Mytilus edulis: one gene and its partners. The main gene of each other region encodes a partner of the protein of the gene in region 4 in a complex. Links are inferred from orthologs where the notes say so. Each region holds a gene or a part of one and is shown on either strand. Other genes may lie near its edges. The genes, in order: integrin beta-PS-like, LIM and senescent cell antigen-like-containing domain protein 1, integrin alpha-8-like and basement membrane-specific heparan sulfate proteoglycan core protein-like.

Region 1 (7,452 bases), on a different chromosome or scaffold from region 4:
CACAAAAATACCAAGGACTTGTTCACGCTGACTTTCATTAATATATTGATTATTAATGAAGATATTAAAAGGTTCATTACACATGACAGAAAGTTTGTGTTTTGAACATAAACACATTTTCTTTGTTTTGGATACATTGATTAACATTTTGTTTTCATCACACCAATGAGAAATATTTTCTAACACAGTATTTAGTGTCTGGCTATACAACTTTTGTTTTTACCAGTAACAGAAATAGTACTATCATCAGCCAAAAGATCACTGTTATGATTTGGATTACACAAAGGCAAAAAATTAATGAATAATAAGAATAATATGGGACCTTAAACGAACCCTTGAGGTACACCTGTTTTTACTTTTAATACACCTGAAAAGGTATTTGAAATGTATACAACCTGCTGTCTATCAGTTAGATATGAAGTAAGCCAGTGCAGTGAAGAATAAGAAAATCTGTATTTTTGTAATTTCTGGAGGAGCAGTTTATGATGAAGAACATCAGAAGCTTTACAAAGATCCAGAAATACTGCTCCTACTAATTCGCCTTCATCAATTGCTTTTAACCATTTATCTAACAAAGTTGTCATGGCAGTTTGACAGGTATGGTTCGAACGAAAACCTGATTGCAGGACATACAACAGATTATATGTGTCCGTATAGTTCATTAAATAAGTTTTTACGTGTCTCTCAAGTATTTTAGATACTAATTGTAAAAATGCAATTAGTCTGTAATTAAATACATCATTTTTTAACATTTATTTTCAAAAACTGGTATGACTTTAGCTAGTTTGAATAATGATGGATAAACTGATTTTTTAATGCCTGAATTAAAAATTTGACATAAGGGAACTGAAATAAGATGAAAATTAATTTTTAAAAACTTTGCACTGATATTATCAAGACTGCTTTTATTACATTACAGATGCCTGTTTCCGTTCGATTCCGTTAAATACCAATTCCTCAGAGCAATTGGTATTTTGCGGAACGGAACGGAAATCAGATTCAACTTGATCACTGTTTCTAATCATCTTCGGAAGGCCCCCTTTTTAATTTATAATTACCAATGGAAGTAGAAAGACCTTTTGTCTAACCTGTCATTGTGTTATTTTTTATACGTCCGTCAATTTTGACGGGACGTATTATGGTATACAAATGTCCAGTGTCCGTCCGTCCGTCCGTCTGTCCGTCTGTCCGGTGTAAACATGTCGCACCGTAACTTGAGAACGACTTATCCAAATTTCATGAAACTTAACATAGTTGTTTCTTATGATGGTAAAATGATCTGTATACTTTTTTGTGAAAATAAGATTACAACTTTTTGAGTTACGTCACTTTGTAACTAAAACAGGGGTGTGTTTTTTTCACATGTCGCACCGTATCTCAAAAACGATTCTTGATTATAGCTTTAAACTTTAAATACTTCTTAGTTATATTAATCTTAATATCTGTATACTTTTTGGTGATGATTCAAAATTTCATTTTTGAGTTATTGAGTATTTTGTAAAAAAAAAAAAGGGGGGGGGGTTACATGTCGCACCATATCTCAAAAACGATTTATGATTATTGCTTAAAACTTTACACACTTCTTTGTTATATTAATCTGAAGATCTGTATACTTTTTGGTGATGATTCATTTCTATATTTTCGAGTTATTGAGTTTTTTGTAAAAAAAAAGAGGTTTTTTTCACATGTTGCGCTGTATCTCTATTGCTTAAAACTTAACAGGCTAATGTTGCGTCGGGTTTCCAAATACATCTTGTACAATCTTCCTATTGAGCGGGAATAAGGAATGAGTCAGGATATACTAAGCATGACATCCTGTACAACCCTGTGTTATTCAAAAAAGATTTATGTTTTTTTCACAAGACGACGGGCGTATCATGCGCTCATGGCGCAGCTGTTTATTTAAATATTGATCAAGTCGAAATGCTATCTAAAACACTTACCACTCATTCAAAAAAGAAGGGTCTGCCTTGTTTTTATCATACTGCTTTAATTACATTAAAGATGTCTGTTTCCGTTTTTTCCGTTAAATACCAATTCCTCAGAGCAATTGGTACTTTGCGGAACGGAACGGAACGGAAAAATAAATTAAAAAGTTTACATCAGATTCAACTGGATCACTGTCTCTAATCATCGTCGGAAAGGGCTGTTGAAGGCCCCTTTTTTAAAATATAATTACCGATGGAAGGAGAAAGACTTTTTGTGTAACCTGCATTTGTGTTAAATTTTTTATTATTGATCAAGTCGAAAATGCTATCTAAAACACATACCACTCATGCAAAAAGAGGTGTCAGACAATTTTTTTTTTATCATACTGCTTTAATAACATTAAAGATGTCTGTTTCCGTTTTTTCCGTTACATACCAATTCCTCAGAGCAATTGGTACTTTGCGGAACGGAAAAATAAATTCAAAAGTTTACATCAGATTCAACTGGATCACTGTCTCTAATCATCGTCGGAACGGGCTGTTGAAGGCCCCTTTTTAAAGATATAATTACCGATGGAAGGAGAAATACTTTTTGTGTATCCTGCCTTTGTGTTAAATTTTTTATTATTGATCAAGTCGAAAATGCTATCTAAAACACATACCACTCATGCAAAAAGAGGTGTCAGACAATTTTTTTTATGATACTGCTTTAATTACATTAAAGATGTCTGTTTCCGTTTTTTCCGTTAAATACCAATTCCTCAGAGCAATTGGTACTTTGCGGAACGGAACGGAACGGAAAAATAAATTAAAAAGTTTACATCAGATTCAACTGGATCACTGTCTCTAATCATCGTCGGAACGGGCTGTTGAAGGCCCCTTTTTTAAGATATAATTACCGATGGAAGGAGAAAGACTTTTTGTGTAACCTGCCTTTGTGTTAAATTTTTTATTATTGATCAAGTCGAACATGCTATCTAAAACACATACCACTCATGCAAAAAGAGGTGTCAGACAATTTTTTTTATGATACTGCTTTAATTACATTAAAGATGTCTGTTTCCGTTTTTTCCGTTAAATACCAATTCCTCAGAGCAATTGGTACTTTGCGGAACGGAACGGAACGGAAAAATAAATTAAAAAGTTTACATCAGATTCAACTGGATCACTGTCTCTAATCATCGTCGGAACGGGCTGTTGAAGGCCCCTTTTTTAAGATATAATTACCGATGGAAGGAGAAAGACTTTTTGTGTAACCTGCCTTTGTGTTAAATTTTTTATTATTGATCAAGTCGAAAATGCTATCTAAAACACATACCACTCATGCAAAAAGAGGTGTCAGACAATTTTTTTTATCACACTGCTTTAATTACATTTAAGATGTCTGTTTCCGTTTTTTCCGTTAAATACCAATTCCTCAGAGCAATTGGTACTTTGAGGAACGGAACGGAACGGAAAAATAAATTAAAAAGTTTAAATCAGATTCATTTTGATCACTGTCTCTAATCAAGGACGACGTGAGGTCAGTCTAGATATCATAATGCATGACTTGCAAATGCGTTAATTTCATGATAATTTATCAGGACAATCCGACATATTCATCTACAGAATATTTCCCGATGTTATACATTATTACACATTTCACCTGTGAAGATGAGATTAAGTATACATTTGTGTTATTTGTATATGGAAAACCGTAAAACACAGAAATTCCAAAGTTTGTTTTGTTTTAAAGATTTTTCGAAATTTTGATAAATGCCCCCTTTGGATACCTTAAATGAAATTCCGTTCCGTTCCGTTCCGTTCCGTTCCGTAAAGTACCAATAGCCTGTAATTTTTACCTATTATGTCTGTCTTTTCTTCACACATCGTTGTCAATATGATGGAATTTGATGTGACTATCATACAAGCGAGAGGGCAGTTTAGCTAGCTGTAATCCCAGGTTTAATGCACCATTTTGTACATAAGAAAAATGCATGTACCAAGTCAGGAATATGCCAGTTTACAAAATGTATATCAATTCGTTTGATGTGTTTGGGTTTTTGATTTTGCCTTTTGATTAGGGACTTTCTGTTTTGAATTTTCATCGGAGTTCTGTATCAATGTGAGATTTTACTTACATTATTTACTTTTCCTCAATTTCCTTTTTTACTGATCCCGGCTGATTTTCTATCAGGACGGTTTATAGGCATTTCTGTCGGAGTAGCACTTCCTCTTACGTCACAAAACCGGAATCGCCATATTTAGACTGCAGTGACTAATTTTGATAAACATTGACTAAAAGCATTCGATTTTGAACAAGAACAGGTATATATGTTAATTCAAATACGTCTGAAAGAACGTTGAATGAAGAATTTATGCATGGATAACCTCATTCTTGAGTTAAAGTGTGCGATTTGTGGCATAATTTACCTAAATTTGGATCGGACTCAGAGACTCGCACAACATAAAAACAGTTTCGCTTTTATTTTTCCAAGGGAACAATATTTTCGTTGAACATGGTCTCAGAATCAATGCAAATTATCTTTTCAAACTTTCAGTGTAATACATGCATGATATATTCAACAGGATTGATCCTAGTAAAAGATCACATCACAAAACTTCACTCATTAATATTATTTTAATAAATGAATATTATTTAAATAATACACCTTATCGCTAATCCTGGCTGACCGGGCCGCTTGAACTTTTAATGCATACAACAATTACTTTTGTAGTTTTATGAAAATTTTTACGGGAACCTGTTTGACATGTTTGATATCCAGGAATGGCGAACAAATAGCTATAAGGTGTAAATTATGATTCATTGATTGTAAGGAGTGTACATTTTCCTTAAATGTACAGCACATGCATGGATAAAGGTTTTTTTCTCTTTTGAATGATTTTTTGGGGGTTAAAACATACAAGTTATAAGTCTCTCTTGTTAAATCAAGTAGTGTTTTCAGTTGCCCAAATTTAAAGTACATTTGTAATTTATACAGGTGTTTGGGGAATGGACCCTCCTTTTCAGTGTATCACTAGATTCCATCTGTCTCACTAATTAGCATACATGTGATGGACTGTGAAACTCAGATCAGGAAATTTGGGAATTTTGGTCAGGAGATTAGAACTCTGATCAGGATGTTTTTTATCGACATAAATTTAGTCGTAAATGTAACTGTATGATGTAGAAGTTGTCTTTTAAAATGTTTTTTTTTCTTCAAATTTCCAACAGAATGTTATATGTTTATAGTACCTTTATTACCTTTCTTTTTGAATGATATTACATAATTAAAAAAAAATATTGAGAAGAATCTGTTTCTTGTTTTGTTTTGATAACTGATTGTTCACTGGGTGCAAATAAATCATGATCTTTGTGTATAGATTCGTATTCATGTCTCCAACTCCTTATCATAAGTAACTGTATAGACAAATAAGAAAAAAATGTCATACAGGTAAATTTATAACATGATAGAATAATTTAAATCATAGCTAGCAATAACAATCGTATTTCAAAGGGAAAATAATAATTTGGTTGCAGCAATACAAATATTTTGTGATATTTCATCAAACTTTAACATATTCTGCTCAAATAATAAACATATGCAACTAGACAACAATAAGAAAAAAATGAAATCTGAGCGAACAGGCACTAGGGCGATAGAACCCAGATTCCTCTCCACCAGCCAAAAAGAGTGAAAACTAATCATCAGATGTACCACCCCCTCCAACAGAGCCAAAGTAAAAGCCATGTGCATTGGAGTAATAGGTTTGTGTGCGGGAATCTAAATCACCATCACCAATTCTGTCTATTGAATTTCAAACACCTGCATGTACACCTTCATCACTGGCAACACCACAAACTCCTCAGTCACCCATTCTGACAACATGTTCCTTTTCAAAATGACAAGCCGCTTAAAAGTAGCTGATTAAAAACAGCCTACATGTACTTGCAGCCATAATATGTAACATACCGGTATCTAATGTTTAAGTTAATAATGAGAGGTTACTACATGTACATGTAGCTCAAGATGTTTCCAAGCAAACTTCAACAACAAAATGAAAGACTCATTCAACTTGTATAGGCCTAATAAAAAATCAACAGAAACCCTAAGTGCATGCTTTATCTCACATGACTGCTACAAAATGTACGTACATAAACTCCAACATAACTTTTCTTTTGTAGTTTAACCAGTTGTTGGTTTTATAATCCTGGGGCCTGTTGAGCTATCTTAACTATACTGTTTTGGTGTTGCCTCATTGTTGAAGGACTTATTGTTTAATGGATACATACATGTATTTTTGTTGTTGTCTCATTGACAATCATTATCAAATCTCCTTATTTTTATGTTATTTATATTATTTTGTAGCAATATTCTGCAATGAAGATAGACTGGAGACCAGTTGTGTTACTGCTATCCTGTTTAAGTGTTGGTTTGTCACAAAGTAAGTTATAACATATATATACTTCATATATACATTTATCTTATGGTTGTGGCCTGTTTTCTATTTCTTGCATGAATATATATATATTTTCTCTTATCAGAGATATGAAAATCTGCTTTGATTTATTTGGCTTATCAAGTATCACAAGACAATATTAGGCCATGAATTTTTAATTTGTTAGTTTACAGATTTTCCCCATGAAAAAGTCGGGTCGGTCGGTCGGAAAGAAAAAAAATATCTTTCAAGACAGAAAAATACACCTTTCTAAAAATATGTTTGTCATCATTTCTTAAATTTCAGTTTGATCAAATATTCTTGGTCAGCTGTCATAATCATCGCATGACATTGTCTAATAATTTGAGTTCCGTGAAAAAAGGGGTGTGTCCACGGAAAAATACAAAATTAAATTGTCATTTCTCAAACAAGAAAAAAAACCAGATCTGTGTAGCCTAATCAATTTCTGGAAATTTTGTGAATATTGAACCTCAAGCACGAAAACTGATAAAGAAAAAAATGCCAAAACGTACGAAAATAAGTTTCCACACACATGTCAAAAACGTAATAGACTCGTCCGCTGGAAAAACGTGGATATCGGGTTCATCAGTTGTCAAGCATTCACGTTTTTTATATCCAATTAGACAAATTGTTTTTATTATCAATGACATAAGAAAATTCCAAATGAGTTGTTTATGTTTAGTACTTTAACTTGACGTCTCCACGTTTTTTCATTTTTCTATGAGATTATGCATCTTACGGAATGATGACAAAAACGGGAAATGAACTTACTGTGTAACGGGTTTTAAACACATATTTCGTTCCGCAAAATTATTTCAAGGTCAGTTATGATTGATTTGTCTATTTTTAGATACGTAAATTTGAGGGTTTTTTTTTTTCACAACAGAAAGTGTTTTCAATTCTATTAGTGTTTAATGCATTTTATTTCATAAAAAGATTATCTTATTTATTTTTCTGGGTCAATGTATTTGTTAGGGTCGGACGGGGAAAAATTTTTTTTTTATAATTGTTTTCCTCAAATTGGCAAAATCGGGTCGGTGATCCGTAAACCAACAAATTAAAAAACCCTGGCCTTATGGCATTT
Region 2 (8,338 bases), on a different chromosome or scaffold from region 4:
AGCAAAACTTGCGGTTATAAATTGAAAATACCGAATGACGGCTGCATTCGGGGGAATTCAAAACGGAAAGTCCTTTAATAGATAATAAAATGCGCATCACACAGGTTTTTTTTTACAATTAAACACTTAGTAGCCAAAATATCAAGAATTTGTATAGAAAGCTCTTAAAAATATCAAGAACTTTTTTATCTATAAAAATGGTCCCCAAAATTTGGATATATAATGCGAGATAACTCTAACACTTAATTTAGCTGAAATTTAGATTTGTCTCCCTGTGATGTCTCTTGCGTCTTGACAGAATCTGAACTCAAAATGTGCATCATGTTGTTCTCCTTTTTTTCAACTGGTTATTATTTATCATAAAATGATTATATGTATACAAATGTTGCATATTTTAGACTGTCACTTTTGCATGCAAAACCAAAGATTCATTCGGAAGAAGATATGTTTTAGTAGAATTTATAAATCTGTAGTGAACGTTTTTTTTCTTCTGTTCAAATAAAACATTTATACATTCAATCAGAGTTTTCGTTGGTTGAGTAAAGAATACCCCGTTGGCGCCCCTGTATTGTGTATTATCTTGTTTCAACATGACCTTATATGGCCCCGGATGTGACGTAATTGTCCCGCCATGTTGAACTGAACGTCCCAAGAAAGTTACAGAAGTGAGACATTTAAGACAAAAACAGCGATAATCGGCCTGTATGACTGGAAGGTCGGCATAACTCATATTAGTTTAACAATTTAAATTCTTAAATAACTTAATCCCTGATATTGAGATTACAGAACTTTCTATTCAATGCCAATAATGGTCAATAATGGTGCTTTGTTGGACCATTTTTATCAAAATAACAGAATTTTTACGAAATATTGTAAAAGATTTGAGTGAAAATCCATGAAGATTTTGATTTTTGTCTGATGTAATATAGTAACTATTAGCCCATATTCGTACATGTTCTCATAAAACTGTACAGTTGTTATAATAATCCTATTACAGTTTTGTTTTTCTAAGAAAAAATAAAAGGTGACATCTTGTTGGTACCGTTACCATTATTCCGTCCGCCCATTACTCTGCAATATATTCAAATTTTTCCAACAGCCCATTACTCGGACATCCCAATATTTCAACATACCATTATTCAGACAGCCCATTACTCTGACATCCCAATATTCCGACAGCCAATTATTCTCACAATGCACCTGTCATAATATCATGGCTGAATATTTGTTTCAATGCCTTGGAGTTAATACACTAGCTGCAGAAGCATAGCTCATAGGTCCTTATGTTATTTGTTAACTTTGAGCGGACCATAAAACTACAGATTTTTCCTATTTCAAAACGTTCAGAATTGCGACCCAAGTTCAGGTCACACATATTTCCTAAAAAAGATTGTTAACAATCCATGCTACATGAATTTCTGTGTCATTTTGGTTTCTTGTGGACGGTTGTCTCATTGGCAATCATACCACATCTTCTTTTTTTTAAAAGCTAGTCAATATATATAGTTTGTTTCATTAGATATTTTTTTTAGGATAAGAAGTACCTACAAATTTATGTTTGAATATTTATTTCCTTAACACTATTATTTGTATGCATTCTCCACCTATTTTGTTCAGCCATATTGAATCTTGTTGTGGCGTCTCACCTATTGCTGTGTGTTTGTGTTTCTACATTGGCTAGAGGTATAGCCTATTAGGGTAGGGTTGAGTTCTCACAAAACATTTTAACCCTGTTGCAAGGGTGTGGAAATGGAATGCATGACTCGCCCGACTCGTTTGATCACCTGGTCAAGTGACTTTTTTGTCTGGGTTGCCCATGGACAAGTTAAATTCATACAAAAAAATATAATTATTTTCAAAACTTATAAAGAAGTTTAATTTTATGTAAAAGAAACCAGTGATAAACAAATAAAACATATACATTTTTTTGTATATTTAAGTCAAAACATCAATGTTCACAACAAAAAAATTAAATAACACTGGAAAAAGATTGATTACCCAATTAAAATAAAATAAGTATGCAAACCCGGGTCTTGTAAATATGGCTTTGTCCTTGTCCATTGACCCGGGGTATCGTCTTCTAGGTTTTATCCATCATTAAACAGAAGTGTCATTTACCTTTTTTTAATAAGAAAGATAAATATTTAATAAAACTACTGGGCAATCCAGACAAAATCGACAGGTCATTAAAAAATGTAAAACGCAGGCGGAGACGGACTAAGAGTGAGAAAAAAAACGAAAGCAAAAATTTCAACCATCTTGGTTAGCAGAGTTCCCCTGGAATTTTTGTATAATATGTATAAAACATCCAACACTTGCCGATCAAAAGTCAACTCTATTTGTTGGAAAAGTAGAAAATACAATGTAGATGGGACACATTAACTGCCAATCAACTTTCAGAAAAACACCAAGCTTGTCAGTTTAAAGAAACAAATAAAATAAAACAGGTTTCTGGGGAAATGGACAAAGCTGCGGCTAAGGTCAATCAGTCTTAGGTTGATAGGTAGGAAAAACTCTTTAATACAGCATATGCAGTTGTCAAAAACAATCGACCATTTTCTGACTACAGTTTTATATGTGGTGTGAGATTTCCTCACTGCATTGAAGACCTATGATGACTTTTAGCTGTTATCTGCTCTTTGGTCGGGTTGTTGTCTCTAACATATTCCCCATTTCCATTCTTAGTGTAATACTGTTTACTTTATGTACATTGTAGGTTATTAGTCCCCTACTGACAAAGTTGAATGCGACCTAAGGTTTTCATTCCTTTTGTCTGTCCATCTGTCATTCCAGAAAATCAGATTATTTTTCTTCATGCTTGAAGATATTGATCTCAAAATTGATGTATAGTTTTCATGACAAGTTACAGATGTACATGTACAAATGTAGTTATTATTTTGTCCCTGTCTAATGATTTTGTGCAGAGGTATATGGACTTTTGACTTTGAAAATTCACTGAAATAATCAGTTTTCCACATTTTTTTCCATCATGCTTGAGTCGGCTGCGGTGGCTGAGTGGTCTAAGTAGTTACATGTACATGTAATCACTAGCCAGTCAACACTGAGGTTGTGAGTTTCGAACCCACTCTTGTGGAGGCACTTGACTCAAATTTTACATACATTGTAATGTATTTGACTAGGATTGTCAGTTTTCCTACCGAAAGTCAGTGGTTTTCTCTGGGCACTCCGTTTTCCTCCCCCAATAAAAACTGTCCATGGCCACCACCAAGTAGGCCAAAAGCAATGCTGAAAATTGACGTTCAAACACAAAAAATCAAAAATGAAATTCGTGCTTAAAAGTATTGATTTGAAAATTGTGTGTACATGTACATGTAGTTATATCATGACAAGTTACAGATCAATTTCTAATTTTGTTCAGAGTTATGGTCCTTGGACTAATAAAAGTACCAGGGCCGTAACTAAAATGTGCCTCCCCTAAATTTTCTACACCAAATTTTTGTTTTTGAAGTAATAAAATAAAATATTGACAATGTGTACACGAAAAACTTAAATTTGTATTTTAAACAACACACATTTACAGTTTCAACAGTGGTATCATGATACGTGATATATCTGTCATTCCCCGGATTTTTGATTGGAAGTGAACCATTTCGGTATTTGTTTTAGTTTTTTTTTTCGAGTGGCCATCCATCTGTTATTCACTAGTTTTTCCTATGTCGTACGAGAACGCATATGAAACTTTGCTTTCGACAATTTTAAATAAAACTTAAATAATCACATTTATTTAGGGGCTCAAGCAGAGGAAGTTCCCTTTGTATTATGAATCGTTTATGATATCAGAACTACGTTATCGGCTGAAGCAGCTGCTGGATATTTTTTTTAACGTGTCTAGTCAGTCAGTACATCTGTCAATCGTACATTGCACAAGAACATAATGGTCAATGCCTTAGTCGTTAAACACTCCCATTCATGTAGTTCTATTCATGTCTGTTCAGCTTTCAACAATATTGAAATTCAAGGTCCTCGATAAAAAAAATTCTTGCGATCTATATTAGCTTGCTTTATATGATTTTTTTTTACTTACCGGTTTGATTTCTAACAAAAATATCTTTAAATACAGATAATAATTGTTTGTAAAACCAATTGCTTCCAGGTTCAAGCATTACTGATGAGTTAAAGTAAGGAAATCAAAGGAAAACGGTTGATTTTTGTTAGGCATTTTATTATTTTGAGAGAAAAAAATCAGTGGTCACAATATATTTAATGTTAATAATTATAGTTCAAAGTAAGGCCTTCAAGATGGAGCCTTGGCTCACGCCGAACAGCAAACTCAGTTTGTTTTTGCATAAAAACTGCTTCCAGGTTCAAGCAATACTGACGAGTCTTAAAGTAAGGAAATCAAAAGAAAACGGGTTATTTTTAGCCATTAAGTGAGGGTGAAAAATCGGCGGCGGCCCCAAACTCCTGCCTCCCATGAATTAGAACACTAGCAGTCTGCACCAAAAACTTTTTCAACTCCTAGTCCGAAGACCAATATTCTGACATTTTTCTTATTAATCCAAACAAAGTTTTGCCAAAACTTACTAGTCTGATTGAAATTTTACTAGTCTGGGGCATCGGACTAGTGGCTAACCGTGCAGACTGCACTAGTTACGTCCCTGTAATCAGTTTTCAATACTTTTTTTGCCAGCTGTAGGGGGCTATCTATATATTGCCATGCAATACACACACAATGCTTGTTGATCATATACATGCATATACCCTGCTTACTTTTGTTTGGAAAGAAAAATAGACTGACAGTGATTTGATTCATTTCCTCATCTTAAGGCTGAAATTTGAAGTCACTACTAGGCTGTACATTTGTTAATAAATACATTCAACGATATTTTGGATTTTTTACAAAAGAGAACTACTTGTATAAAAATTTAAAAATCAAAACTGTGAATTCTTACCTCTAATATATGTTGATTGAACATGTTGAAGCCATCATTATTTGATAATGTAGATACATGTACTACAAATGCAGATGAATGTACATTTTGTTTGATGTAAATTTGTATGAATAATAATTACATGTATTTTATCTGGAAAGAATTATGTCCCCTTTGACTAGTAAGTATTTTTATTTCAGGAAATGAACACTTATATGTTGTAACATGATAACATTTTAAACACTCATTATTAAGTTTGACCCTGACTCTTAATGACATCCGAGAAAAACATTTGAGTTATACAACAAATGTATTCTGCCAGATTCCATCAAAATAAACATAAAAACAATGACAAATTAAGGGACCAAATACATTTGTAAAATATGTTAATTTCTTAACTGTTATATCTCTTATGCTGTTCATGTTAACATGATCAACAAATACATGTACATTAATGTACTTAAAAAAATCACCTTCTGCATTGTTTAGTGCTGACATGAACGGAAGACACTTATAATTGGTTATACTTATACTGGAGCTCACTTGAGGTTGAGAGGGTGGACTATAACAACCAAATGTACTTTGTGTATATGTTTATACACTATACTTGTTGAGAAAAAGCTGATGAAGTGACATCATTTATCACCGCTTTCACTTTCTGTTACAGTGCAGTCGGCTGTACACTAAAATATATTTGTTACAAATTAAAGGGAAATAATGAAGTAATTGGAAAATTATAAAAATTGCTCATTTCCTTGTTGACCTTTTGAAATATGGATTCTGATGATGATATCATTAATGACAATGACACTAGTAGTGCTGGTTTTAAAGTTGAGAGTGATATGGATTCTTGTGGGACTCTATCTGATGAGGACCTACTAAACAATGAAGAAAAATTCATGTAGGTAGCTTTTTTTATGTAGCCTATACAAAACTATATACTGTTATCAAAATGGATTCAACTTTTTTTTTATTCCAGGAATTTATAGCAATTGATAAGGGCTTGAATCAGAGAAGGAAATGCATTAAACACTTAGAATTTTATGTTAATGTGTATTTCCCATTTTCATGAAAATTTAGAATAATTTTAGAGATGGAAAATATGTTGTTTTTTTTATGCAACAAGGTCCGAGTCTCCTACTGTATTATTATTAATTTATAAAATATCAACAGAAAAAAGAAACATTGATATGGACATACAACTTGCTAACTTGTTTTCCTACTTTCATGTTCATTTATTATCATTGATCGTTTAATTTTGACATGTGCATATTAACAGTAACTTCCAGAGTTGTGACCCCTGATTGTATGAAATTTTCAGACTATGAAGTATGGTGTCTGGATGACAGGACCAAAAACTATATGTAATTGTGCATATTTTTAAAAAATCCAGCAGTATTGCAATTTTATTTAGATTTGATAATTCAGTGAACACATCAGAAAGTCACAAACTGCTAGGTTTACTTCAGTTTGATGATGGATACATATATATAATACTAGAACACACCCGTGATATCACGGGTCCGTGACTGAATTAAAGTATATAACTATGCGCAAGCCTTATTTTAGTATTAGTATTGTCATCTGAAAAAGTCATGCTGATTATAAGATACACAGTTTTTCTCTGCTTTCAAGTCTTTCTGTTTGAACCCTCGAACTGAAACAATAATATTAATTAACTGGAAAACAAAATGTCCTGGAATGGAGTATTTTTTAATCAACAGCATTGTCCTATATAAGTTATAAATAAAGTTGAATTCTTTGCTTCGCTGTTTTACGTCATGCCCACTTACAAATTGAAAACTGTACCTATACGCCTTATTTTTAGTCCAGATTTTTAGTATTCGTATTGTTATCTTAGAAAGTCTTACTGATTCAAATACTACAATAGGTAACAATTTGACAATTTAGTTGTGTCAACCCTGTGGTTATGACCCGTGTATATAGCATATTAATCCTGAATGGTGGTGAGCCTGTCAGATGCGGAACGTACAGATAAGGTAATAGGTAACAGGTGAATATACTATTGGTATTGGTAGCGGACTCGACCCGGAACTTCTTAATTATTGGCAATATTAATTACGTGGAAAACAAAAGGGCCTGGAGTGGTGTAATTTTTAATCTACACCTTTGTACTATATTAGTTATATATAAAGTTGAATTCTGTGATTCGTCGTTTTTACGTGATGACGGCTGACAAATTGGACCTTGTAATTTTAGTATTATAGATATTTGTATTCTGGAAGAATTGTTAAAATAAATTCAATGAAAAAGTTTTACTTTTAGTCTGTTTCAGAACATGATATTTTGAATATAGGTACATTTGTAAAACTCAATTTCCTTCCCCTCAAATATGTTCATTTCCATTCATCCCAAATTGCATTGGACAGAAACATGTCCTTTTCATTACTTTTAATCATCTCTTACAAATTTCAAAAAATGCCCAAATTGAAATGTGTCCACTTTTATTTTTGAAGAGGGATTCATTATCCCAAGAGGGTAGGAATGTCCTTTTCCCTCAGTCGTCAATTGGTAATTTATTGCTAAATTAAGTTGAAAGTAATGTTTATTGTGAAAAATAAAGGTAAAATTTAACAATTTTTGAGCAAAATACTGTAAATTCAGAAATTACTGTAGCATTTATTATTACGATTATAACCCAGTCACATTTTTTTTACGACCGCAAAAAATTTTGCAATCATATATATATTGGTATGTTAGCGTCGTCTGAAGACGGATGGTTTCCGGATAATAACTTTAGTATACACTAGAACACACCCGTGATATCACGGGTCCGTGACTGAATTAAAGTATATAACTATGCGCAAGCCTTATTTTAGTATTGGTATGCGCAAGCCTTATTTTAGTATTGGTATTGTCATCTGATAAAGTCATGCCGATTATAAGATACACAGTTTTTCTCTGCTTTCAAGTCTTTCTGTTTGAACCCGTCGAACTGAAACAATAATATTAATTATTTGGAAAACAAAAGGTCCTGGAATGAAGTATTTTTTAATCAACAGCATTGTCCTATATAAGTTATAAATAAAGTTGAATTCTTTGCTTCGCTGTTTTACGTCATGCCCACTAACAAATTGAAAACTGTACCTATACGCCTTATTTTTAGTCCAGATTTTTAGTATTCGTATTGTTATCTTAGAAAGTCTTACTTAAAAATACTACAATAGGTAACAATTCGTACAATTTAGTAGTGTCAACCCTGTGGTTATGACCCGTGTATATAGCATATTAATCCCGAATACAACGTTTGGTGGTGCGCCTGTCAGATGCGGAACGTACAGATAAGGTAATAGGTAACAGGTGAATATACTATTGGTATCGGTAGCGGACTCGACCCGGAACTTCTTAATTATTGGCAATATTAATTACGTGGAAAACAAAAGGGCCTGGAGTGGTGTAATTTTAAATCTACACCTTTGTACTAT
Region 3 (7,759 bases), on a different chromosome or scaffold from region 4:
TAATTTCCAAATGTAAGTCAAGTTATGAGGCATACTAAACTGTATCTTGTACCCTTTAATTCAAGTTCAATGGGTTTAAAGCATTATAAGCTTCACTATATATTATATTTACACTTATTTTCTGTTAGTGTTAGTATAAAGTTTGTCAGTGGAGGCTTAATATTTCTTTAGTATTGTATTTTCAGATGTTTTCGACAACCTCTGTAATTCTACAACCCTTACGGGACCATGATATAGAGTCTCTGGCAGAATAATGCAAACTTTCCCTTTTCAGTTGTTCCAGTTGAAGTCCAAATACGTCTGTGATTCATCTGGATTATCTGTAGGCTCTATACTATGTATAGGGTAAGTTATTAATAATTCTTCATTTCGGGGTACGGATAGATAACATGTGTTTTAGAATATATATATGTATACACTTCTACATTATTGTCAGGTTCAGAGGGTATTAATAAATGTTTTGAAACGCACCTTTTTATTGTGAATTTATCAAAGTCGTCTTCGGCCCAATGACTGGGATAATTGGAGGAAAAAAACGAATGTCTAGTTCTTATATTATGATACTTTGATGGTTGAGAGATGTTAAATCAAGTTAAGGCACGATTATATAAATTCTGATTTTGAAATGTCGTGTCACTTTACCCTCTGGTATCTTTCGCCCCTCTTTTACGGACATGCATGTCCAAAGTATAAATAGCACGAGAAAAGACATACCTGTATATTTATACTGAGTAACATAAAAAGTTATATTTGTTAAGTGCTGCATAAATACAGTACTGCTTATGTGCAATTTTCAAAACGTTAACGCTGTAAAACTCGTGTGCTCTATTTTTCAATCTAATTAAAATATAGATCTCCCAATATATAGTATAACGCGAGCAGCTATCTATATTTGAATTAGATTGATCTATTTTGTCCTATTTTTATGTGGTTTTTTTTTGTAGGTTTGTATCTTTATTGTTTCTGTACATACTTATCGGAATACTCGTTCAAATATTTATACGTAAAGAATCTGGTAAACGAGTTATACCAAATCATGACTTTTGGGTTGCTGTACCAGTATATATAAAGGTAAAAATAATATGTTGTGTATATTTTTGTGACTTTGTCAACATTGGATATTTTAATCATTCGAAAGAGCATTTTTGAGGGTTTTTTTTCAAATTAAAGCTACTAGTATAAGATAAGATAAGATAAGATAAGATAAGATAAGATAAGATAAGATAAGATAAGATAAGATAAGAATTTTATTAATCTAATCAAGAACCCATAAAGGGCATCATTTTACAACAATATTATGACAATATGATTGAAAAAAGCAAAACAGAAAACTAATGCCATACCATATTGGTGAAAATAACGTATGGGAATTATTTCATGTACGCCTAAATGACGGTTATTAACCAATTTAACTGTGTTTTGCAATTATCTTTGGAACTATTATTTTGAAAGAGAAAAGTAAAGTTCATTTGAAAGATAACTTGAGTATCTACAAGTTATGAAAGTAGTCAATATACTTTCCGTTGGATGTGCTGTCCTAAAAAGAGTTGACCATACAAAATAAAATCTTATTGATCTGGATCAAACTGGTTGCAATCCAATGTGGTATATGACATCGCCATTGCCCCTATACTACTGTTGCTATAAAAATTGATGTTATATAGGTACCCTTCTATGTGAAATTTCCAGGCTCATTGGGGCCCGTTATTGTTTTACGGAAATTAGGCTTCGAGACGGTTTACTTGCTGAATATATACAAAGCTTCTGTATATAAAAAAAGTCAATTCAAACTGTTTCGCTTTTTTAAACTTGACACACTCAGGGCAAAGTTTAAATATTTTCACTGTATGTTGGTAAGAGGGTCATTTTGACCAATAAAGAAATTCATACCAGTAAGAGTTCTGGTCACTTGATAACTCTTCATTTTGAGTTGTATATCCTGTATAACTCATTGATTGAAAACCTTGCGTAGGCTTAGACAATCGTTTTACTCCTGTCACTTACATACGACAGACATAATGTAGTAGCTAATTGCTTCAAACATGTAAGTAATTAAAAAGGTATGATAGGGAATATTTGACCTTATACAAAAGTATTGACCTTATACAAAAGTATAAGTATTTCATATATATAAAAATGTACACCCTATTGTAATTATAGTTCATGAATTTACTGAATTTATACTTTTTTGTAGGATGGTACTCGTTTTGTTATTGGGAGAGGAAAAGTACGAACATACGATGCAATTTAATTTTATCTCGCAGTTTAAATCTATACAGTCATTATAGAATACTCATTTTTATTTTTGTATAACAGTTGTTTGTTCGTATGATAATAATATACATTTGTGTAATTGGTGAAGATGTTCTGCTTTATTCGGAGTTGTCCTTCGTTGATCGAAAAAAAATTCAATGCATATATAAGAGCCACACATGGATAGTTTTATGTCCTCTTATAGTACGTTTGTATTATAGTTATTTGTTTATGGAGATAACTTTTAGGCGTTGTGGAAATAAAGGCGATATTTCTATTATGCATGTTATTTCCGTTATGACTAAAATGGAGAAAAGAAAGTAGACAAAAAGATGAATTTATGGAGAAATGATTCATGTTAAATGTACACCCGTATGGAATCATCAATTAAATGAATGTATACTTGTTGGTTTTAAAGACTTTGTGTTTAACTGAATTTATTCATTTTATTCACGGTAGATTAAGTTTGAGTATATACAATTGATAGAAAAATGAGCAACATGGGTCAATTAAAAAACATGTATCGCATTCAAACGAATGAAATAATATTAAGCTCATGTAATACTACCATGATCCTACCCAGTCTATAAATTAGTGTCGTTTCTAGATTAAAAGTAAATATGGTCAATCAGAACAGTACAAACTAATAACAAGCAGGCATCGAAATTGAAACTAGCTTGTATGTTTCACTGACTACTTTCTTTAAAGACGACTGTAAAAAGATTCTATAGGGGTGCTAAGTCTCTCATCAGTTTGTTCATTTCTGTTGTATAATCATAAAAACAAGGAGATGAGGGTGGGATTGCAAATGAGCCAACTATCAAAATTAATAGCGAACAAAGGACAAGCATGTAAATAATTATGGGTCGACCAACATACGAGCTTCAACAATGAGCAAAAACAAATGCTGTAAACTATGTTATAAATGTCCCCGACATGACAATATCGTGAAAAAAAACAACCAAAAGGCGAAAACCAACTGTCTGATCTTTGGTAACTGCAGCGCTATTTTAGTATAAAATATTTTTTTGAAGCCATCAAATTACATATTACATCAAACTTGACTGATTTAATTCCAGTTTACAAATTTCAAAACTCCGTAGATGGTAGAATTCCACAATTCACTATTCACTCATGATTATTTTTGCAATAACTTACGTAATATAATGTTCAAACTTCAATAATACATAAAATTTTGTTTTTTAATCCTCCGTGTTAAAAAAAAACCCAATAAAAATCTTATATATATAGATATTTATCTAGCTGACACTTGTTTATATTAATGTAAAGGTATTTGGTGTTCACATTTTTTTCAATCGACTGCATCTCCAAAGTGATTGATATTAGCAGATCTGTCAAAATAAAAATAGTTAATTGTTATAAAAATACGTAATCATCTTACGAAGTTTTCAACAATCCTTTAATATCTTCCCGACGGCGTTAAATTTACACGAATTACTATTTTACAAACTTCCTTTTAACTACATAAAACACTCTTTCTGTTTTAATCTCTGTTCAGTGTACTTTAAAGGAGAATCAAATAAAACATACAAATTTCAAAAGTATGTTTTTTTTTTTATTTTACACTGAGTTTAATATTGTTTAAGTAAATGTTTAAGAATCGTAATATAAATACTTTTCTTTGTCAAACAGTGACAAAAGAAAAATGATAGCTCTGTAAATTTGACCAGAGAAAAACAAAAGTGAACAAAAAAACATTAAATCAATCAGTTAAATGTGTTGTGTCAATCCTTGTTGTGCCTTTCCAAAATGTCCATAATATATGTCTTATGTCTGTTATTAGGTTGGGTAACATTCAATTAATTATATTGGTCAACCATCTTCATAAATCTTTTTAAATCTAGGTCAAACGTGCAATTTACTGCTGGTCATTTACAAGGAGACGGAATCTCACATCAAATATAAAACTTCCTCTCACAAACTAATTCAAACAACAGCGGGAGCTTTTTTTTTTAATGATTTTATGAATGAGTCAGGCCAATTTCTATATTAGGATCTTTACACACACGGGGCAATAAACTCGTCCGACGTGCATCACTTTAACCTGATCACCCCCTGAAGGCAGTAATGGATCACTCTTACAAATGCCAATATCTTACATACACATACGATACCGTAGGAAGTTGTTGTTTAGTGTGTAGAAAACGATGAAATTATTATATGTGTGAAATTAAATACTTCTTCTTACAAAACAACTTTGGATAAAGTGATCACTTGGTTTTATAAATATGAGATTAACTAGTTATTTATTTCGTTTTAAAATGGATAAGGTATTTTTCTCAAAGTGTAGTTGCGGAAAAAATAGTTTTTTCGATGTTTCTGTGATAGTTTTGTTTGTGTGTATTTTTGGATATGCAATTCCTATAACTAGTGCCTTTAATTTGGATATAAAGAACGCTATAATTCAAAGAGGTGAAACTGGGAGTATGTTCGGATTCTCAGTAGCTCAACATCTCGACCAAAACACAGGATGGTAAGTTTTCACAAATTCTTTAAAGTTCACAAAGAAAAGTGTTGCCACAGTTACGAGAATAATCAATTACTAACTGAAGAGATGATATTTGTAGATGGTATTTCTAATGAAATATACATTGAAAATATTGTAATTACAAATAAAACTTGCAAGGTAAACTAATATGGATCGTAAGAGGTTGCTGCAATCATGTTCTTATCTAGTTTTATGTACTATACATGTAGTATGAACATTTTTGTTCAATCAGTACATAACTATAATCTGACGGGAAGACGAGGTTAAACGCTACACATGTTTTGTGTTTATTATTTTACAATTATCTTTTATCTCATCAAACATGTGTTATCTATGTGATGTAAACTTGGCTTAAAAAATCCTATGGTGAATCCCTAAGCGATCAGCAGGTGATCGGATTAATAGATCATTAATTGACTCTGGATAATATATATTCACGGATGACATCTACATGCTTTTGGTGTACTTAGGACCCCATTCTTCAATTTCTTTCAACCATTTACTTAATTGAAAAATTCAACTTCAAATGACACAGCATCTCTATTCACTTCGTTGTCATGTATCGTCTAATCTTGTTTTATAAATCTTACATATACAAACAAATGTACACGATTTTATATCAATGAAAAATAATCGTCAAAAACGTGTTAGCTAGATATTTACATTAATTTAGCCACGCTTATTTAAACAAAATAAACATCAAACTCTTTATAAAGGTCGATATATGTCTGTTTTGATTTTGTTATGTTTAACAGTTTCTTTTCTACGACGTGATACACGATAGCCTCCAGATATTGTCCATGCATAGATAAGTAATGATTGTAACCTATCAGTTATTGATGGATGAATAATTAAAGTAATGCTTCAATCTAAACTTTTAACCGAATGACCGTCTGGATACATTTTTTGTACATACATCAACATGATGTAAAATATGGATCATAGGCTTTTGCATTCCCCAAAATACTCTTTATTGCGGTGATGTAGTTGAAAAATAAGATCAGTTGAGTTCTACACTACCATCGTTGACCATAAGGCATAAATGTCAGTGTTGTTATTTTATGACTCTCTTAAAAGAACACTTTTAGGTTAAAAATTAGTGTATTTTTTCTTTTTTTGCATGGTAGTGTGGTGGCTATGATTTTGCATTATAATTGTTTAAAACTATTAAGTAAAGTTGATCACGTTTGTGAAATGAACTTGACAGGCTCGAGGAAGTTAAGTGATTATGTGATCCCTCCCATGATTATTTATTATCTAATCCAAACTAATTTATGACGACGTTGACTGCAGGCGCTCGACAGGACATTTTGACCTCCATGGGATAATTTGTCCGGAAACAGAACTATATTAGTAAACGCCCAAGCGTTATCTTGGGGATTTGACAGTCACCTAGGGAATAAACATGCACTAAAATTATCATATTTTAAAAATTTCTTCCATTCTGACATCGCTTCAGATACACATTTACGCATAATCTTACACATGGTTACCACATTTAAAATGAAGTCAACATCAGAACGAAACTAAAAAAATCCTTTGAACCATTATTTCAAAAAAAGATCTGACAATTTTTTTCATATACATATATGTCGTGTTTAAAGTACACAAGGTTTAACACTCAAGTGCATTAAAGATGTTTCACATGGCTTGTACCGTCAGAAAGCAGGTAATTTGAAATGAGTTAAGATCTTTTCCTGGAAAAAGTTGAAATTTTAAATAAAGTTCAGTCTGAGAACACAGTAATAAGATAAACATTACGTGTATTGATGAACTGGTAAACGCAATTACGTCAAATTTGATGGATGGATCTCCGGGTCGTGTTTACATGTCATACTAGAATATGGTGGATGCCAATCTTAATTACCAGATATAATTCGATAATATAAGTAACCACAGTACAATACTTTAACAATCCTTGTTGTATGGTTGTGTGGTTTATGGTCACCAAAAGATGATATATGGTCAATAAGTAAGTTACCAATGATCAGGTCTCTGATGTTTTTGTATCTTGCCTAGACTTGCTACATGTCCCTTCCTAATTATTATTATTTTTTCAATTTTGCCCCTTTAATAATTTTACTGCTATAACTAGGAGATTACAATTATACTGACATCTGCAGGAGGAAGGGACTTGTAAAGTTTGTCTGAGGCTTGACCAAACTGTTAATCTTAGAGTAATTAAGATTGACATTTATTGATAAGAATTTCAGATAACAGTTGGGAAGTGAAACTTGATATTCCAGTGTTGTGCAAATACTGTTTATTTATTTTCATTTTATAACTTACTAGAAAGATAAGGTCACTGAACTTATACATATGATCAAACATCACATCATTGTCAGAGTTTCTGTTGTGTCTAATGGCCGAAAGTTCTACTCCAAAAAAGTTTTTTAGATTTATAAAATTTACTCCAACAACTAAAAAAACTCTTTGTGTAATTTGTGGAAACAGAATTGAAAAATGTGATTACAGGAGAAAATTATTTCATGGCAGCATCAAATCTGAATACTGTATTCTTATTGAAAAATATCTGGAAATAAATATTACAGAAGAGACACATGCAGATACTGCATGTAGAAAATGTGTTAGAGAATTGCAAAAAATTGACAGTCTTTTCACAACATTTAAATCGTCATATCAGAATACTTTGGCAAAACTACGTGAAACACATGGACATAACTCGGTTTCATTCAAAAGACAATTTTCCGAGGATGGTAGTGCAACTGTTAATAGTAGGAAATCGTTGTTTCCTAGAGATGAGGAAAAAGAAGAAGACTCTGAATTCAATATTGACACTGAAACTGATTCAGAACTGAAGGTATGTTTGTAAAGTACATTATTGTAAAAACAGAGAAAATAAGAAAGGAATTTTCTTTCATAGGAAACATGTATCATCATCCTATAACCAACAGAAACGAGCAAAGAAAGTGTACAATCCCCTTTTGATTTATTGATTTTTTTATATTTTTTTTCCTCCAGTGGCAAATATTTCAT
Region 4 (7,975 bases):
TTTAAAATAAGCTCGGGATATAAAATCGGTATCCCTGCAAATATATTGAGTGTTATCTCTTAGACTATGTCTGATCGATTGTTATTGGAAGTGCTGAATGTCTCCGTATTTCGTGGACTCACATTCCCGAAAATGATATTCATAAAATCGCACGGTATGGTGTCTTGGTAGAAGCTGGAATTACTCATCTTTTCGGAAAACATATTTCGTCCTATTTGTCATCTTTTTTAGGACCTGGTTTGTATTTGTCTCTTTTTTTACCTCATTTTGACTGTCACGACAAAATCAATTTTAATAAAACTCAGATGAGTGTCATACAAGGAGAAGAATGTGTTGCGACCAAAGAGGGCGGGTAGTGTTGTCCAACTCTGATATATTTATTTATGTAGTTAATAGTGGTTAAACCTCACTCCCCTGATGCGCGAAAGGGGGAATCCGAAGATCTAGTGAAATGAAGATAGATAAAGCCAAAAAAAAACTTAAACGAAAGAGGGACGAGGGTCAGGACTGAGCAGTTGCAAAACGCATGTGTACCAACTCCAATATACTGAGACAAATATCCCGCATGAGAAGAAGAATCGGAATCAAAACGTACAACCACAAATATTATAGAGAACGGAGTTGGTCTTTTTAATAGAAAATGTACCTATAAACTTAAGATAGATGCATTGTCGGAATAATGGGCTGTCGAAGTAATGGGCTGTCGGAATAATGGGCTGTCGGAGTAATGGGCTGTCGGAATAATGGTTGTCGGACTAATGGGATGTCACCGTTATAACATGTATGAGGTACTTTTGTACATGTTATAACTTGTATTTTTGCATTATACAAGTTATAACATGTACAATATTTTTGTACATGTTATAACCTGTACAAAATCGCAACTTGTACACGACATATATTTTACTTCATTAAAATTTATTTTAAATTTTGTACAAGTTAAAACCATTTTTAAGCAATATTTTGTACAGGTTTTAACATGTATGAGGTAATTTTGTACATGTTATAACTTGTATTTTTGCATTATACAAATTATAACATGTACAATATTTTTGTACATGTTATAACCTGTACAAAATCGCAACTTGTACACGACATATATATCATAAACTTAGTCATCTGTGCACTATTTTATTATTTATCAAAAGAAATCCATTACAAGAACAAAAAAAAAAAAAGTAAACATGAAAAACCGGGGGTTGTCTCAGATGCTTCGAAATAAGTAAACGGGCGTTTTTCAATAAAAGCGTATATTTCAGACCTAAAAAAATGGAATCAACTTGTCTAAAATTTAATTTCAAGAGTTATTTTGAATACCTCTATTATAGACCTGTTTGTAAACAAAAGGTCCAATCTTAAATACTCCTTAAAATGATATTTTTTTTCATAATTTGAGTACTGTTCAAAAGTCCCCTACGAAACTGCTTCTAAACACACATATGTTTGCAATTTTAAATGTTTCCTATAGACATTCAAGTTTGTTTACTTTATATACTAGGAAAATCTAATTTTTTTCTGAATTGGAGAACCATTTTTTATCGATGAAGATTAGACAGTACTTCACATATGAAGGTACAATTCGTGTTACGTAGTGGACATTTTGATGCGTTTCGTAGGTGACAAATCCGTTTCGTAGTGGACAAAAAGTTTCGTAGTTGACATCAACCCTATTCTATGTTAATAAAAACATAATAAAAATTACATGAAACTAACCCTTGGTATTTGCTTTGCACGAATATAATTGAAAAAAGAGTAAAAAAAGACTGCATGGTAGTGGTAGTGTCCCCTACGAAACGTTTTTCTCCCATACTTGTTTCGTATTCACATGTTTTATTTTTTTACCACAATCCCTTTATTGCAAAAGTAACAAGACTGATTGTATTCATCAAAGCATGTATTAAGCTGTACACTGATATTTTTTTCATAATTTTAAAACCAGATACTGATGGAGATTTGACCCGTTTCGTAGTGGACATTTACAAAAATACGGTATCACTCTGGTCCATTTGATGTGCTCAATTTTTTTTACCAACAATTTAATTGCCGTTATAAAAGCATCACTTCTTTTGTAAGACCCTAATGTTTATATCTCTTGCAAACAAAAATTACATTGATTTTATAAAACGGTTTATTAGCAAATTTAATGACTTCGTTTCGTAGTGGACATTTTGTTAGGGACACTTCTTCTGAAATTAAAAAGGCACTGGCTACGGTTACATGGAAATGTAACAATAATAAAAATATTATTGTTACATTGGAGACTAATTGCCGGAATGCAAAGTTGGGTAAGGAACCGATTAATTACGAATGTAACAATAATTATTGAGGCTACGGTTACATTGCGTTATTGTTACATAAAAAACAGCAATATACGCTAGATTTTTTAAACTTAAAAATCTTCTATAGTTTTATTGCTTAATTCTTTTATATGTACTTGATAATACTTGTAATAATGATAAATGATAAACATTATTATTTAACAAATGGTGTTTACATAGTTTTACATATTAAATTTGGTTTTGATGTTCTTAAAGATACTACACCAGATTAGGAGTGCCAAAGGCGAAAAATATACTAGTAGTTCAATCGTTTCACTTTTAAGTATTTAACTACACACCTACTCTTAATTTACTGTTCGATTATACTTTGAACAACGGATGAAGAGATTCCTATTATCAGTTTTGTTTAGGGTGGAAAATTTGAAATTTGGGATGCGTTTGAAACGAAACTGAAACAATATCAAGACACAAATTTCATTCAACTATACAAACGCAGTTCTAAATAATTTGATACATCAAAAGCAAACTGTGAACTAAAATACTGGGAACTTCTGTATACATGTATCCATGGAGGACGTTATTTCGTTCATCAAAAATGTGTCGGACTTAAACATGCTTTAACAACCACTTACTGGATATGTAGAAACTGTCATTGTAAATAAAAAAATAAAGAAATTGTATGTAATTATTGTATGTATTGTAAATATAAAATAAATGTCCTCAACTTTTATCATTTAGTAATAATTACTAGTCCCATCGTACATTGCTGTTTTTCATGTAACAATAACGCACTGTAACCGTAGCCTCAATAATTATTGTTACATTCGTCTCTAACCAACCATACATTCCGGCATTTAGTCTCCAATGTAACAATAATATTTTTATTATTGTTACATTTCCATGTAACCGTAGCCAGTGCCTATCAAAAATCCTATGTTAAAAGCTGTTTATTATAATATGTTGGCTCTAAACATACTTTTGAATTATTAAAGAACTTATATTAGTAAAAATAACATTTATTTCTACATTTTTTTACGAAATTAGCAATCCCTTTAAAAAATTAACTGTTTCTTTGCTTTAAAATGTTAAATCTAATTCAATGTACTGACTGCACAAAAAATTACTTGCAAAGACCAAACACATTATTTTTAAAGTGGCTAGGACAAGAAAATACGTTTTTATTGAAAAACGCCCAAACATGAAAAACCGGGGGTTGTCTCAGATGCTTCGAAATAAGTAAACATGAAAAACCGGGGGTTAATTTGTCTCAGATGCTTCGAAATAAGTAAACATGAAAACCGGGGGTTGTCTCAGATGCTTCGAAATAAGTAAACATGCAGATCCTGCCCAGTAGAAAATGTCCCGTATAATTTTGATGGAACTTTCCACAGAAAAAGTAAACTAGTCTAAAAAAAAATGCTAGTAAAGAAAGCAATGCCGAGGGTGCGATATTTTAAATTAACATTTATTGTTCTTATAGAATTATTCTTAGAAAGGCTATTTTATAATTTTATAAATGTTGTCTCATATTGAATGGGATTGTAACTGATGATGTATAAACCGAGTTTTTTTAATATTATGAAATGTAGTTTTATATTTTTTTTTTACTTTACGACACAATTAATAAGCAGTTACATCATCATAATAGTTAACATGCCAAAATTTTTGATCAACAGGGCAACCGCAAACACACTTGATAACGCCGATAAAAATATCATACACACAAATTTAAAGTTCACATTTTTCCTTTTTCGCACCTGTGATATGAAGTACCTAGGGTCGCGAAGATAATTATCCAAATAAAGAAGATCTTGAGAGCAAATATCCTTATCAGACCGATTATATAATTAATCTGGTTGAAGTATTATACTGTATAATTAATACCAGATTTTAAAGATAACGGTTATCTCAAAAGTCTCATTGACATGTTTCAATTTAGCAGATGAGGGGGGAATCCCGGGCTGTTCTATCAATTATACTTGGTTGTAAGAAAGTGTACTTCAAATGTCCGGTGGTATCACGATCATACATATTTGAGGGTTAAGTTGAAGGAAAATAATTGTTACAGTATTGCACACGTTTAAGTAGCTAATCAAAGTCTTTTTGTAATAATTGTGATGTTAGTGCGTGACTAATACGTGGGAGTTAAGTAACAGCCGAATAACATCGCCTTTCTTCAGTTCATTCAACCAGTGAATATAGAAAAGAAAGTGCTGGAGGCTTTTTGGAGGAGTTTGTTTTACAGTTTCAGCTGTTTTTCATTTTGTTGTTAGACGGCTGGGAAAAAACTCTGGCCTTGGATATTAGATAATGCATTTGAATAGGCATTTTTAATAGTGTGTCACGGCTTTTGTCTTTTTACATCTGGATTAGTACCGGTTAAAGAGAAAAGAAAAGGGGGTACTTACTGTCTGTTGCCCCAAAGGAAAGTGAAAATATGACCATGTATTCGTCTAGTAAAATATTATTCCTAAGGAACTGCAGAACTTTATTAATAAGTTTAATTTTATTAAATGGAATTTTATTATCAACTTCAGAATCGGTAAGTTTAAAAAGTGCTGATAAAGGAGTATTCTTGTCTGCATGTAGTCAGTAGTTAATTATTTTAATTATCTTATCAGAATATTATATAATCGGTGCATGTTTGAAAAGAGAACGCAATATATACAACACGTTTACATAAGTACTGGTACATGATGCATGTGTTTGAATTGATTATAGTCTGTTTCCATTTAGGAAAAGACATGCATGTGTATAAAGTGAAAACGTCAATTTAGCGATGCTATTTATTGAAATATTTGAAAACACACATAGGTGTATACTCGTATCTACATATTATAGAACAATTGACATAAAAAAAAAATATGCAACTTATGTGTTTATAGCTAATTTGACAGTATATCTGTATGTATGTACATGTGTGCATTTATCGTTCAAAACGGAAAAAAAGATGAAAAAGTTGCATACTAACTAATTTAATATTCCTGTTGCTAAGAAATATGTATACTTACATGTATATAAATGCAAAATTTTGTTTGGTGAATATTTCTAAAAATTCTTTGATGAGTTCTAGATCTTAAGATTTTTATAATAAATTATTTAGTTATGCAACTGTTGATCTGGTGCCTCCCAGATGTTTATAAATGATAACTGTCTTTAGCTCTGTTATGTGAAAGACTGGTTTCCTGCTGAGGTGATTTATCAGTCTTATCAAGGAGGTTATATGCTTTTCAGAACAAATATTTTTATTGATGAAAATCGTTTCACAAACCACCTGTGATGAATTAGTTTTCTTTTATGCATGGATATGTTGTTAAAGCAGCAGCAAAGCTGTTTTTCTTTGCATGTTAAATAGTATTCAAATTAGAGTTAGGACATAAAAAAGATATGTCTTGAGATCTTGCCAAACAAATTGTGATGTTATTTACTTTTTCCTTTTCTTTCTTTTTCCAATGCCAAGGCAACTTTTTCAAACAATTTCAGTAGAAAATTTGACCTACATGTTATCATTTCAATTTGTGACTGACTTCTGGAAAATCAAATATTAAATCTTGCCTAACCAAAATAAAATTTGCCTGGCAGATATGAAATCACACCCAAAATTTAAATAAAATTCATCATTGTCTGACTAGCTTTGACTATTCAGTCTATTGCCAATACTTGTCTGAAATAAAAATATTTCAGTCATATAAGTACATTGAATTATGGGGACCTCCCCTGGGAATAATTCAAGAACACACTGTTCTTAAAATGATCAAGAACTGTTCTAGGACCTAATTTTCACTTCAGTTCAAAGGAGATGTATTTCATGTATTTTGTATTCTTACATATACATATGTACATGTATAAAATAATCTTCAAAAATGGATTTCTTTAATATTTTTTTGGCAAATTGCAATTGCACAATGTAAATGTATTAAAATACAGAAAAGTGCAATGTTATCATGGTTATGTACATATTGGTTAATCCATGGAAGTAAAATGAATTATAATGCTTCCATGGTTTAACTAAAAAGACAATTTAAAAGCAAAAAATATTTTCTCCCAAAAAATAATTTTTAAAATGAAAATCAAACATTAATAGAAAGTCAAACTTGAATGTTATGTAAGACAAATTCTACCTTAGCATTTAATAACAAAAATATTAAAGTAGAAAATTATTCACAGATTTACTGATACAAATTTATTTCAGTCAAAAGCTAAATATAATCAGATGAAAAATAAGAGGTCACATTTTACAAATCTTTATGCAAGAGTTAATCTATTCATCTGGATTAAACCAATAACTATGAATATGAAATGATTTTACAATGAGAGTGACAAACAGGACATTCCTACAGGCTACTAATGGTGTAACAGATTTGTCTTCATGTATACAGGCTATCAACTGACCTGTATAGTGTACATGTCTGTATGCATGTTCACATTGTACAACCATTTTTGTACACTGTCATGACTGTATAACAATTTTAGATGTACATATATATAACACTTTGTAAGATGTTACATATATATATATATAATTACATTTGATGTATGTTTCATTATTTCGTTATTCTGATTGGCTAACTGCACAGCACGTGCTATTCCTTAAGCAATTGCATTACTCAATAAAATGTATCATTCATGATGACACGAGGTCCAACAATAAAGTTCACAGGTGAATTAAATAAAAACTTGATAAAAATCGTGTTTTCATGATCCTAGCTAAAAAATGTAATAAGTATTGAATGCTTCTTTTTGTAACTTTATAGGGTTGTAAAAGCGTTGACCGTGCACACATTTATAGAATGAAGCGATTCCGCGCTTCATACAAAATGTACTTCGGTCAATATTCTTTTACAACCCTATAAAGTTACAAAAAGAAGCATTAAATTCTTAAATATATATACGAGTCCAAATTGAAAACTACGTTTAAACCTATGATTGCGTTGGATAAAAACCGCAATTTTTATATGTGTGCATGTAAAACAAATTTCGTTGTAGAAGGGTCTAAATACAGCACAAACAACATTTTCCAAAAGACCAAAAATTTGAAGAAGTATACTTTTCATCTGAGAATATAAGACAGATTAAGTTAAGTTTCACTTCTAATTTTTGAATTTTCGGGCTGATGATATTAGCTAAAGGAAACATTTTTATTTGGATTATTTTAAGCAAAAAAATATGGCTGTCTAGTTCCTATACACTCCATGACCTCTGAATTTGCCTCTAACATGTCTAATTGTGGTTATAAGTCAAACAATATATGCGACTATAGTAAATATATACATGTACATGTACATGTACATGTCTATATATAGTAAAAGAAAGTCAGAGGTTGGAAAACGACCAGATACCACTGTACATGTAGTTATGACCATGTCATTTTCTTTGCTTTTACATGAATGTCAATGTATATTTGTGTACAAGTTATTGTTCATAATTATTTCATAAAAGTGAATTTTCTGTACATTTATATACAAAAAAAGCAGAAAGCATTGCAAAATATATTTGATGTACATTGTGTGTATACATTTGTACATGTACATGTAGGTATCTGAATATATATTATACTAGAGGGAAAAATGCAGACAAATCATACCCTTACATACACTGTCTGCAAGTACATGTACATGTATATAATCATGATAATAGTAAATACCATTGGAAATTAAGATTAAGTCTGATACATTGTAATACAATACAATACAATA

Evidence for each region.
Region 1: basement membrane-specific heparan sulfate proteoglycan core protein-like (region 4) and integrin beta-PS-like share a complex: the UniProt entries of both Caenorhabditis elegans proteins name them as parts of the integrin containing attachment complex. The link is inferred for Mytilus edulis from reciprocal best matches to the Caenorhabditis elegans genes unc-52 and pat-3.
Region 2: basement membrane-specific heparan sulfate proteoglycan core protein-like (region 4) and LIM and senescent cell antigen-like-containing domain protein 1 share a complex: the UniProt entries of both Caenorhabditis elegans proteins name them as parts of the integrin containing attachment complex. The link is inferred for Mytilus edulis from reciprocal best matches to the Caenorhabditis elegans genes unc-52 and unc-97.
Region 3: basement membrane-specific heparan sulfate proteoglycan core protein-like (region 4) and integrin alpha-8-like share a complex: the UniProt entries of both Caenorhabditis elegans proteins name them as parts of the integrin containing attachment complex. The link is inferred for Mytilus edulis from reciprocal best matches to the Caenorhabditis elegans genes unc-52 and pat-2.

Annotation. Positions count from the first base shown.
Region 1 is NC_092345.1:41,302,858-41,310,309, reverse strand, and holds the start of integrin beta-PS-like, read left to right. Parts: upstream 1-4,118; 5' UTR 4,119-4,235; intron 4,236-6,277; 5' UTR 6,278-6,289; coding exon 6,290-6,353; intron 6,354-7,452. UniProt on the Caenorhabditis elegans protein: Integrin alpha ina-1/beta pat-3 is a receptor for laminin. Integrin alpha pat-2/beta pat-3 recognizes the sequence R-G-D in its ligands. Plays a role in cell migration, morphogenesis and probably in cell-cell interactions.
Region 2 is NC_092346.1:66,274,076-66,282,413, forward strand, and holds the start of LIM and senescent cell antigen-like-containing domain protein 1, read left to right. Parts: upstream 1-5,072; 5' UTR 5,073-5,665; coding exon 5,666-5,793; intron 5,794-8,338. UniProt on the Caenorhabditis elegans protein: Component of an integrin containing attachment complex, which is required for muscle development and maintenance. Probably function in adherens junction.
Region 3 is NC_092345.1:85,189,198-85,196,956, reverse strand, and holds the start of integrin alpha-8-like, read left to right. Parts: upstream 1-4,216; 5' UTR 4,217-4,502; coding exon 4,503-4,747; intron 4,748-7,759. Other genes in the region: uncharacterized protein, read left to right, coding at 275-345, 945-1,071, 2,195-2,251. UniProt on the Caenorhabditis elegans protein: Required for muscle development probably through the regulation of the actin-myosin cytoskeleton. Component of an integrin containing attachment complex, which is required for muscle maintenance.
Region 4 is NC_092356.1:15,117,628-15,125,602, reverse strand, and holds the start of basement membrane-specific heparan sulfate proteoglycan core protein-like, read left to right. Parts: upstream 1-4,447; 5' UTR 4,448-4,716; coding exon 4,717-4,821; intron 4,822-7,975. UniProt on the Caenorhabditis elegans protein: Component of an integrin containing attachment complex, which is required for muscle development and maintenance. Probable structural role in myofilament assembly and/or attachment of the myofilament lattice to the cell membrane.